3 linked regions of the Coturnix japonica genome follow. The protein of the gene in region 3 interacts with the protein of the main gene of each other region in a biochemical or structural test. Links are inferred from orthologs where the notes say so. Each region holds a gene or a part of one and is shown on either strand. Other genes may lie near its edges. The genes, in order: BRAF, CDC42 and IQGAP1.

Region 1 (4,374 bases), on a different chromosome or scaffold from region 3:
TCAGTTCAAAACTGACCACGAGTCGAATGAAGTGCCACAAGCTGGTTTGTCACAACTCCAAGCCTTGAACTCGTAGGCGATACTGATGTAGTTTTAAGCAGCATTCGTTCATGATCTTGACACAGAGCAGCTCCTTTACCATACGATTTCAGCCGACACGTTTGTGTCTCCTGCTTTAAGGTCTATCAAAGATCCTCCTTGTCCGCCCTCCTCTTACAGCTACAAACTTAGCATAGAATGGAAGGTCTTCCTCTGGGAAATCAAGACTGTGTTTCCTTCAGGACTGCAGAGGGAACTATGGAACTAAAGCCCTTCTAGGTGCCTCCTCTAAATACGTGAACTTGTGCTCCCTGATGCACTTTCACAGCAAGGTTACTGTTAAAGCCCAGATTTACATTCTCTTGAAGGGAAACAGAACACCAAAACACGCATTTACATGAGTCAGATCTAAGTACTTCAGCATTTTCTGACTTATGTCACCTTGCATCTGTGTTATGGTTACGCTGACTTGTTTTTGTATTAAGAACAGTTTTCACTTTAACTCGATCAGCAATTATTTGATCTCACGCTTTATTAAAACCGGGTTTAGATGGCGTAACATCCATACTGCAAACAAAAGGTAATTACCTACGACATGAGGCAGAGCTGGCTAACTGACCACCAAAACCACATCAAAAAACACAAACTCCAGCACCAGCTCTGCCTCAGACCTGCGTGTTTCATTATTTCCAATGTGTAAAGAACAAAATCTTGGGGAAAAATAAATACAGTAACAACAGCACACTCCCCTTAACCATGCATTTATGCACCCGTACTTGAGAGGTAGTGAACCCTCCAGCAGCCTGCTGCTTCTCTTTCTTCCTTACAGAGATGTAAGCTACAAAGGGGGAAAAAACACAAACCAAAGCAACCCCTTGCTGTGTAGTTTTGCATTTGGAGTGAAACCTGATGACCTACAGCAGCAGTTTTGAAGCTGAAGCGACATCTCTTCAGGGATGAAAAAGAGATTCGAATAATTCTTTTCTAATGCCACTGCTTTCCTCTATTCTCTCCCATGCACCGCAGTTTATTTGCCCCACTCAGCTGTATTACCATGACTGAACCCAGGGCCACAAAATAAATCAGTTACTGTAACGATTCCGCTGATATTTATGTTATTTTTTTATGGCGGAAATAACACAGCAATTCACTTCCACATAGAGCTGCACCAGCACGATCAGGGCAACAAATGCCAATGAGATGCTTTTGAAACTCATTTTGCTGAAGGAAGGTGTTTGTTAAAGTCTAGTCTGTTTAGGTTTCTCAATCAGCAAAGAGTTTTTCCTTACTCAGGAAAGCTAAGAGTGGACTTGCATTACACAAAGCACTTAATCACCCTGCTGTTGAGGTGCAATGTATGAGCACAGTGCTGAGCTTTGCCTTCCTTCAGCAAGGTGAGCAGGTGGCTCCTTAAGACGGGCAAGTCCTACCTCCCAACAGCATCAACAGGGGAAGCCTCCTTCCCTTTTCTTCTCTCTAGCCACCTACTCAGCATGAGCTCTAGTGCTTGCCAAATTTCCCAACGCATGAATTCTATGCTACTCCATAATGCTATTAATACAGAAAAAGCATTATTAGCCAGTGAGCTGGAGTCAAATGGAGCTCTTGGTGAGCCCAAGGCCTACTCACCTCTCTGAGTGGAGGTAGGGGCAGAGAAAGGCCTGCCCCAAGGCAGCAGGGAGCTCAGTGCTGCTCAGGGCTCAGAGAGCTGTATGGATCACACAGACCTGCTCAGGAAGGTTGAGCTGAAACGGCCTCCGGTGACCAAAGCCCTGAATGAGGGTGCAGAGTCTCTGGTAGCTGTATTTACCTCTACAACAGACTTGACATATGATACATGGCAAATCGCTGAGACTTCAGTGCCTACAGTGTTCAGAACTGCAGAACACCCAGCGTTGGTGCTGCATATCACAGTCCACCTCCTGACAATGGTTCACAAGTGTCAGAGCCTCAGACTTTAACCCATGCAGAACAGGCAGCACTGCTCCGTCTGGGGATGGGAAGTTAAATAAGGTGCCCCGCACCACAGCAGTATGTCACAGGGCTGCAGATGGGGCCTGGCACCCCCAGCACCCACACAGCCGCTGCCCATCGCTGTTTCTTAGCAGAAATCACAACCCAGGCCAAGAGCCGCAAAACAAACCCCTCCAAACCCTATATATATATTTTTTTTAATGCTTATTTCAAGCGCTTCAAAACTACCCGGACCAAGCGATTATAAAATAGCCGCACAAACGCTGTGCCGCCCTCAGGTAACTCTCCGTGTCTTCTCCGAGCCGGGCGGGCCGGCGATGCCCCCGCTGAGGGCCGGGGAAGCCCCATCCCTCCACCTCCGGTCCTACAGACGGCCCCATCCCGAGCAGCAAGGCAGCAAGGAGCCTCCCCGCCCCGCCACCGCCACCGGAGAGGAGGGGGAGGGCCGGGGCCTCCCCTGAGCGGGGATCCCCTCCGCCGCCGTGCGGGCCGCGGCCGCCGGGTCCGGCGAGGCGGGAGGGGGGCGGGGACCCGCGGCAGAAGCCGCTCGGCCTTACCTCCTCCGGGATGGCCGGGTCGCCGCCGCCGCTCCCGGCGTAGCAGGCGCCCAGCACGGGCGGCGGCGGCTCGGGCTCCATGTCCCCGTTGAAGAGCGAGGCCCCCTCGGCGCTGCTGCCGCTGCTCAGCGCCGCCATCTTGGATCGAAGCTCCGGGGCGAGGGAGGGGGAGGGAAGGGGGAACCGCGTCCCCGCCGCCGGGACGGCCCCAGCCGCGACCCGTAGCGGGAGGGGAGGGGGAAGGGGGCGAGCGCCGATCCCGGGCAGCTCCCAGCGGCCCGCGCCGCCTCACGGCACGTCACGCCCGGCCCGTGACGTCACCCAGAATCGCCGCCGCGATCGACGCGCCTGCGCCGCGGCGTCACCGGGAAACACCCTGACGTCACGGCGCGACCGACCGTCGCCCTGGGAACTCGAACGTGGGCTCGAGGCCCAACACACGGCACAGCGCCCCGCAGCGCCCCCTAGCGGAGGGAGCGGAACCGCCGTGCTGAGGTGCCCTGCGTGGACACAGCGGGAACATCACAGATCACAGAATGAGCCGGGTTGGAAGGGACCTCAAGGATCATGTAGTTCCAATCCCCCTGCCTGGCAGGGCCACCAAACATACACATTTACTAGATCAGGTTGCCCAGGGCCCCGTCCAACCTGGTCTTGAACACCTCCAAGGACGGGGCATCCACAACCTCCCTGAGCAGCCTGTTCCAGGGACTAACCTTAACCCATCATGATTTGGTTCAGATCAGTAGAAAAATGGGCTGTTCAAAGGCTGTCCAGCTGAACACCTGAACCTCCAGAAAATAATGTTTCAGTGATTCAGTGAAAATCAGATGGTTATCTGCCAGCAGCCATCTCCTTGTGGGCATTTGAACGCATCTCTATCCTTTCCCTTTAGAAAACATTAGTTTTAGTGAGATGCCCCAAAAGAAGAATATCCGAAAGGGCTGTTAGATGAAACTTCCTCCTGGTCTTATTTGTAATTGGCTTTCCGTGGATGACAGTATCTCAAAAACAAACAGACAAAACAACAGCAACAACAAAGAGATAAAGAGGCCCAATTACCTCTAGCACCCATTTAAGCATATTTGGCAGTCGCTATATTTGAAGATATACTGTACATCTTTTGGTATTTCAAGAGAATTCTGTCTGATAGCTCCAAGGTTGGGCAACTGAGAATGCATAGCCGATGTTTTCACTATTTCTGTACAGACAGTATGTATTTTTCCCTTTGGTAGCCTCTTGCAAGCTTTTAGTTTGGGACATTTCCCATTCCGCAGCCCTGCTGAACCTCAAATTGTCATATCTTCAGTGCAAAATCAGGTTATATTCAGATGGTGATTGAAATTTGGCAGCTGAACAATCTCATTGTTGTCCTATTTTGGTTCTTTGCCTTTGAATGAAATACACTGGCAGAAACGATGAGGAGGAGTGGAAATGGACAAAAAAATAAGGTAAGGGGAAGCATAGGAAAGTATCAGCCCACAAGGTTCTTAACTCATCCTTCATCTTACCATTAAAAGCAATGTTGATATACCAAACTTTCTTTCATGTGTAATTAAAATATTCGGCATTTTTCTTGTAATGAAGTTGGACACATTTACATAGTTTTAATTTGACTCCAGCATATTTTTTTTAGAGTCATTATGTTTTGCTTTGACAGCAGTGTGTGAGACGGCCTTGGGCATGGGACAAGTGGGAGGACTGGGGCAAGGGAGTGATTTTGCATGTAGGTCCCTTTCATGTCCTGCTCAGCATCGCAAGAGCAAAATGACAGCCTGCTTCTTTCCTTATGTTAGTACTGACA
Region 2 (3,619 bases), on a different chromosome or scaffold from region 3:
TTCTGGTTCTGAAGATGAAATAGGCGTTGGAATTGGTGTTGACCTCCAGCAGAATACTCCTTAATGAGTTGCGGGTTTAGAAGGAAAAGGCTTTGGGTAGGAGCATGTGATCAGCTGTGTTGTAAACAAGTTGTTGGGTGAAACACTTGATGCAGTGTGTGCTTGTGACCTTGTGGGCAGGACGGTTGTGCCAGCTGCTACGCAGGTGCTGGTGGCTTGATCTTCTCAGTTATAGGCAAGAGACGTTACAGGTGTTTTGTTCAGTGGCTTTTATGGTATTAGATGCAGCAGTGTATCTGGTGTGCCTTTACTTTAGAAGCGTGGAAGTAACTCTCGCATCCCTATCACAAATGGAATCGTCCTGTTAACAGCCTCAGTGACAGTGCAGGAAGCTTGATGGATTCTGTCCTGTTGAGATGACTGTTGTACAAATCGGAGGGGGTTCAACATGGTAAGTAGTGTGATGGTTGAAAGATGGCATATTGACATAGCTCTTAAATGTGTTTCTTTCCCGAACAGGTTTTTGATAACTATGCTGTAACGGTGATGATTGGAGGAGAGCCTTACACTCTAGGCCTCTTTGATACTGCAGGTAAGAAACTGAGTGATCATGTCATTGCAACTGCCCTAGGTTTAGCTGAAGTGGTGTTGAATGTAAAGGTAAACCTGATCCACCAAAAGTTGGTTCTTCAGTGAAAGGGAAGAGTCTGCAGGCTTTGTTCATTGTCATTAGACTGTATTGGAGCTCATGACTGGGGTAATGTCCAGTGATTACACATTTATCTGTGTTTATTAGCAAGCATGAGAACTTAACAAGAATGAGTTGGAGCTTACCCAGGACTTGTCCTGTCCCCAGCATGTAATAATACCAGAGCTGTACGCAGCTTCTGATATTGCAAACTATTGTTTGAGTTGTTTTGTCTGAGAACTTGGCTGGTAAAGCGTTGCCTAAAATTGCCTTAGTAGAAGTTAATGTGACTCTTTCCAGCTGTATTGTTACAGATGCATTGTTAGTGTTTTATTAATTACTGGTGTGATCTTGTGCTACAGTTAAATGCTGTGGCTTTAATTATTCTTCACATTGTTCTCACAAGTTTGGTTTGTATGTTCGTACAAACTCCTTAGTTCTCGGATAGGAAGCTCTGTGGAGAAGAAGCCAAATGATTTAGTGCATATAGCTTGATATACTTGGGGAAAATAAAAGCTTTCCTTATGGAGCCAAGCGTCTGAAATTAAAGTGCTGCTGCAATGAAGGTCACCCATATTTTTACTAAACAGTAGCTTCTAGTGCAAGCTACTGAACTTAAATGGATAAAACGCATATTAATGACTGATGTATTGTAAAAACTTTCTGCTGTGAAGACAGCTTTTGGGGTATACTTTCAATTGCAACAAGTTGCTTAGCTCCCTTGTTTGTGCAGTAGCAGTCACAAGCTGTTGAGGTCTCCATCTTCAAACTACAGATCTTCCACTGAGATGTCCCAGGTGTGCTCAGCTCCTTTAAGGTCTCTGAGGTCTTTCTCCTGTATGACAAACAAGAGACTCAGTTGAAATCTGAGTGTTTTTTGAACACACGTTTCTGAGCTGGTCGCCATCTCATGGAGTAGCTGCTTAAATGGGAGCCTTGTGTTGCTTTCGAAGAAGAGTGGTACTGAATTGAGAAGGTATAAAAATGGGCTGCTGCTGAGTTTAGTGGGTCACTGTGAGTGCTGTGCTGCAGGGACTGCTGCTGTCTGATGTGCAGACCCAGAGGGAATGGCTTGGCTTCCATTGAAGCACAGCCTGCCCTGTAACTGTGTGTATTTTTAGGGGATGGCTGCTAGATAGTCTTATTACTACCACACCTGTAACAGCAGTATTCTTCTCTTACTGTTCAAAGAACACATCCTGAAATGTTTTCAAGTGTGATTTGGGACCTCCTAGGGAGCAAAACTGCTTCTGGAACTTTAGTTTTTGTGTGTTACTGAAGTTTGATGACAAAATATATTTTATGGATAGAGTAGATGCAGAAGACCTGACTTATAGCCAGATTTACATTCTGCAGTCTGAGGCTGCTTGACCTAAAAAGAATTTATTAGGGCACACTGCTGACCTTTCCTTCTCTCTTGTGACTTTAAGCAGCTTGTTGTTACATAGCAACTGAATGAATTCTATATCTGAATACAAGGCTCCCTGAATGTTTGGATTCAGGGCATGTGTATTTGCGTAAGAGTTAGAACTGCTCACAATAATGCTTTTGTGCTGGAATGTGTATTCTGACAACCTGGAAAAGGCAATATTTTGCTGTCTGCCTCTAATTCTGTGTTAATTTTCTCCCCTTCTAGGTCAGGAAGATTATGATAGATTACGACCCCTCAGCTATCCACAGACAGATGTATTTCTGGTCTGTTTTTCAGTGGTATCTCCTTCTTCATTTGAAAATGTGAAAGAAAAGGTTGGTTCAACTCTGCCTGTGTCCTCCTGAGAAGGAGCTGCTGCTGTGATTTTAGTAGTATCTAAAGTGTTAAAGTTGACTAGGTGGTCAGTAATAAATACTGTATCTTCTTTCCTTAGTGGGTACCTGAAATTACTCACCATTGTCCAAAGACTCCTTTCCTGCTTGTTGGGACCCAAATTGATCTAAGAGATGATCCCTCAACAATTGAGAAGCTTGCCAAGAACAAGCAGAAGCCCATAACTCCAGAGACAGCTGAAAAACTGGCCCGGGATCTGAAGGCTGTTAAATATGTGGAGTGCTCTGCGCTTACGCAGGTAAGAGTTGGTCTTTGACCATTTCTGCTTGTTTGTATTCTATATATATATTTTTTTCTGTTACAGGGGAAAAACAGCTTGGAGTGAATGTGAAAGGATATGAGCTCCATTTCTGCTGTTGACACAGTAGCTTTCTCTGTCCTGTTGTTCTCAGGCACGAGTAGCTGGCAGTGGTACAAAGCAAATTGGCCTGTGAAGATCAGGCACAAGTGGAGAGGGGAGGTGGAAGATTTGCTTGCTGGGTTTGCTTTTGTATTGGAGCAAAGTAGTTATCTAAAACTTAGGCGGCATGTTACGGACAATAAGTGGGTTAGAATACAGCTCACAACTGAAGAGAGCAGTCACAGGAAAAAAAAACATCAACAGATCTCGGTTTCTGTCTCAGTGAAGTAAGTTTTTTTTTTCCTTCTATGAATAGAAGCTTTCCTAATTGAGAGCTTCTTTCTCTTCTCCCTACCTGGTCTATGGTGATCTGCTTCCTTTGTGTGCCTTAAAATGGAAGTGCTGTTGAAACAGAAAATCCTAATCATATAGCTCTTCAGATATAAATGTGGCTATGCTGTGAACTGATGAGTGAAAATGAGTTTAAAAACATCTGAAATTGTTGACTTGAGGCGCCAAAACCTGGCAGTCCTTTCCTCTTAAGGTGGGGAGGGTGGTAAGTGTTGGCTGGCAGCTGGGATCTACCTTGTCTTTGGATGCCTGGGAAACATAATCTTGTGTCCACTCCTGCACAATATATTGCGACTCTTAACAGATTATTTAATGCACCTCTGTGAAGGATTAGTACCTACTTGATGTACACCAGAGGTGTGCAGTGTCAAATTCTTCACTCTTTGTCATTTTGTTGCACTGATCTGCAGTATCT
Region 3 (4,091 bases):
TCAGAAAAAAATATTAAGAACTACAGAGCCCAGCAGTCAGTGCTTCAGAAGTTAAGACAGCATCTCACCATCATATTCTTCCCCCAGACCACAATTTAGTTGCTGCTGGTCCAAAAATAGTAGCCAACCTATCTTTGTAACTCAAATTTTCTTCTCAAGTATAGGCTCATCTCACAAGTATCTCTTTTTTCAGCTCTCATAAAAGGTTTGGTAGTTATTTCAAGACTCTTACCACTGATTCAAGCTCCTCTAGCTGACATCTTACAATGCTGTCAAGTCTACACCCCTGACCAAAATATTTTATCCCCCACTATACATTTCAAAAGCAGAAAAGGTGGTCTGACTTTCAGTGACAGAGCTTTGACTTTCCTCATAACAACGGTCTTTCCCATATCTTATTTCCTTCTCTTTCATTTAATGGTGCTACTATAGTTCCTTCTGACAGTGTTGGAAGGACCTATAAAGTCAGGTTACAAATAAACATGTGTAAAGGGTTGCAGATAAATAAGAGAAAGAGAATAATCTGTTCTTCATGTCCATCAGGAGGTAGTAAAGTAATATTACACCAAAACAAATACAAGTTAGATAATAGTAGGAACCTTTCAGTGCTGAGAATACCAAAGCACTAGAGCAATGAAGTACTGGTCACAAAAAACAAACAAACCAACCAACCAGAACAGCTTTAAGAGCACGTTAGATGAGCCTAACAGAAACTGCTACGAGGCACTGACATTTTTACCTCCTTGAGGCAGCGAAACAGTCTGGAGGCCCACAGAGTTGAGTTTTTTAGTGTTCATTTCAAAATGAATCTATCCAGTCACTGAGAAATACACAGGAGGTAAGCCGCATCCAAATTATTCCCCTTACAAAATACCATGACTTTATAAGTTCCAGACATTTGAAACCCCCTTATCCTTACCTCTTTGCTTCCTCCAGATGACAAAGGTACTCATAGGCTACATTCTGGCGCCGTCTTTCATCCATTTCCTCTGCTGTTAATCTCTCATTATCCAAAACAGCTGCAAATAGTCAGATAAATATACTCAGACAGAAGAAGATTGAACATCTCTAGCATCTGGATAGATCAATGCAATGGGAAAGGCATTACAACAAAGGTGTGATGATGGAAGGACTAGCACAACAGAGGTGCTATAAAGGAAGGGAAGAAGATCGCTCACCTGGAGCAGAAGATCTCGGATTCACATGGGAAAGCTGCACCAAGGGGGGATCTCCAGAAAGAGACCCTTGCCAGCAGCAGTCAGCCCCTAAATGGGCTCTAGGAGAGGTGCAGCCAGGCTGCATCCCTTCCTGTCCTACAGCTGAACTGCCTTCACCTGTGCTCCCAGGGCTGACCGGTCCTTTCCACAGGTGCTCAATCAGTGGGTCACATAAGGACTCAACAGTTCCCATCAGTATCCCAGTATCAAAAATCATATCCAATTTCCTCACAGGCACTCACCACAGGCATAATTTGTCTCAGAAAAATGAAAAGACAAATACATATGTTATCTGCAAGTAACAAAGACAGAGCTTCCTTACCCTTCCACCCTTATTGCATAAGTGTGCCATCTTCCCTCTCTGATTTCTCAATTTGACTTTGATTCAACTCTTTCTCATCTTCCAATTTCTCTGAAACCATCCATTTTTTTCTTACTTCCTTCTGGCTTTGCCTTTCTCTTCCTCACAAGCACATCAGCGACACACCACTCTCCACCTACCTACTGATTTTGACAGTCAAAGATTAAAGGACGACTGTATTTTCACATCGTGTAATTTCTTCTATACTGCTATATTTCATCCCTAAAATGATGGAAATACTCCTCTCAGCCATCACCTGGAGGATAATAATTTAGATCCACAATCTGCATATCGTCTTTGGATCAAACTCCTAAGTTATATGCCCAAATCTTTCTGATTTCTGTATGTTCAAACACTCTTTCCACTTACTGTTAAGTACCACAGTCTCGTGCGGGTTGGAAGGGCCCTTAGAGATCATCGAGTCCAACCCCCGGGATTCGAGCCTCTGTGTAGCAGAGCGGCACTTCTACCACTTGTGCCACAGGGGGGATTCGAACCCGGGCCTCCAGTGTTGCAAAGTGGCGTCCTTAACCACTGCGCCACCGGAGGCACACTAAGTGCCACACTAAGTACCTCCTCCACGCTCTCATGCTGAAAAAGCCATATATATATTGTTTTGTTTTTGAAGGTTTTATAGATCAGTGTGACAAATAGGAAACGCCTCGTACCATCATTAGTCAAATGCGAACTTACACCTGAAACACTCTCAGCAAACAAAAACCAACGGATGAGGTATCAACCACAGCATTTGGGACAGAGCAAGGCCTCGCTAAGAACGGCCAGGACGTCTCAGAAACCCGCCCTTGGCGGCCACACGCATCTTTCCCATTACATCAGACTTTCCCAAAGTTACAAGAGCTGAACACGGCTTCGTGCCGCGGCAGAGGCCGGGAGCGGGGAGGAGCCGCCGCCTCCGCCCGCCCCGCAGACCCCACCTGCGGCCGCGCCCCGACCGTCGCTTTCGCCATCTCCCATCCGCCGCGCGGCGCCCGCTCCATCTTTGCTCATTTTTGACGTGACGTCTCGCACAAGCGACCATACGCCACAGAAATGTCGAGCCGAAGCTTCCCTCTCCATTAGCCAGCATATTTTCGAGAGATGCGGGCGCTCCACCCGATCGCATCCGATCGGTTCGGATGGTAGGCGAGGCACCGCCGCCGACACGGCAGGGAGGCGGCCGGATCGTGCTGCCACGGCAGCGGCCCGCCGCGCCCTTCTCGTGCCCGCCGAGATTGCTGCAGCAGCGCAGCCCCCGCCCCGCCGGGCTCCCCTCCCCGCGGCGGACATGTTGGGCGAGGCGCTGCGCGGCGCACGGCAGCGACCCTCGCGCGGGAGGCGAATGACGGCCCCGCGCCGCTCGCGCCCGCCGCCTTCACCCGGCGCTCTTCTCCACCGCCCGCGTTACACCCGTCGGGCTCGGGCGAGTTCGCGTGTCCCGCCGCACCCGCTCCGCGGGAGACTCCCCCGCTGCTCCCCCGCTGCCCCCCGCCGGAGCCTTCGCGCCCAGCAGCGGTCCCGGGAACGGACGGGCTCGGGCCAGGCGACGCCGGTCAGGAAACCTCCTGGAGGGGGCAGCGACTCCCGGAGCCGAGCCCGAGCCCGAGCCCCAGCCCCAGCCCCAGCCCGTACTCACAGCCGTAGTGCGGCCGGGACATGCCCAGCCCGTCCACCTCCTCCGCCGCCATAGCGCTGCGTTGGTCCGGGCCCGGCCGGGAGCTGGGCGCGGCTGTTCCTCTTCCTGCAGCACCGGGTGTGGCGGGGGAGGAGCCGCTCGTTCCGTTGCCGGCTCCATCCGCCGCGGTTCGGTTGGGAAGCCGCCTCTGTTCTGTTCTGCCCCGCCCGCCCCGCGCCTATCGCTGGGCAACAACGTCACCGCCCGACCCCGTCCAGCCTTTGCTGTGCATCCAAGCCTGGAGAACGTTCAGAGTGTTACAGTTAACACAGAACGTCAAACCGACCGGCCATTATTCAGAGAAAAGGAAAGCTGGCATAATACAAAGTCGTATGCAGATAAGGCTTTGAGAATACACAGGCTCAGCACCAAAGGATTGAAAGATGGAAACGTATCATTATTACAAAGACCAGCTTTACTAAGCAGATGGACAGATCGCTGTGCACCTTGCAAATACACAAACCTGAGTACATTTCTCCTCTAAAATATGTATGTATATAGAGATTGATAGATATGTAAGTACACCAAAACGCAGCGGTATCGATCAGAACTACTGAATGATTTTCACGTGAAGAGGAGCTACTTACATTATGACTTCACAGCTGACAAAAGAGGTACCCAGAGAAAAAAGGGGAGAAAACGAGACTGAAGAAAAGATTTCTTCATGTCTATTCATAACATAATAAATAGGGAGGTAAAAATTAAGGAAACATTAAAACTCAGCAGTGTTAAACCAGATAGAATCACACAAATTCAGATGCTGGTCAAAGGAAGCTGAATGCTCAGGAGCTGAATGCTCAGGAGCACTGCTGAGCAGAAGGGATCTTCTCCTCCTGTGTAT

The links.
Region 1: the proteins of IQGAP1 (region 3) and BRAF form a complex in vitro, tested with the Homo sapiens proteins (2 studies listed by BioGRID and IntAct). The link is inferred for Coturnix japonica from reciprocal best matches to the Homo sapiens genes IQGAP1 and BRAF.
Region 2: the proteins of IQGAP1 (region 3) and CDC42 form a complex in vitro, tested with the Homo sapiens proteins (6 studies listed by BioGRID and IntAct). The link is inferred for Coturnix japonica from reciprocal best matches to the Homo sapiens genes IQGAP1 and CDC42.

What each region holds. Positions count from the first base shown.
Region 1 is NC_029516.1:55,345,020-55,349,393, reverse strand, and holds the start of BRAF (serine/threonine-protein kinase B-raf), read right to left. Parts: upstream 2,893-4,374; 5' UTR 2,709-2,892; coding exon 2,571-2,708; intron 1-2,570. UniProt on the Homo sapiens protein: Protein kinase involved in the transduction of mitogenic signals from the cell membrane to the nucleus. Phosphorylates MAP2K1, and thereby activates the MAP kinase signal transduction pathway. Phosphorylates PFKFB2.
Region 2 is NC_029536.1:5,523,455-5,527,073, reverse strand, and holds part of CDC42 (cell division control protein 42 homolog), read left to right. Parts: intron 1-519; coding exon 520-592; intron 593-2,324; coding exon 2,325-2,434; intron 2,435-2,553; coding exon 2,554-2,751; intron 2,752-3,619. UniProt on the Homo sapiens protein: Plasma membrane-associated small GTPase which cycles between an active GTP-bound and an inactive GDP-bound state. In active state binds to a variety of effector proteins to regulate cellular responses. Involved in epithelial cell polarization processes.
Region 3 is NC_029525.1:18,431,785-18,435,875, reverse strand, and holds the start of IQGAP1 (ras GTPase-activating-like protein IQGAP1), read right to left. Parts: upstream 2,881-4,091; 5' UTR 2,866-2,880; coding exon 2,514-2,865; intron 1,020-2,513; coding exon 920-1,019; intron 1-919. UniProt on the Homo sapiens protein: Plays a crucial role in regulating the dynamics and assembly of the actin cytoskeleton.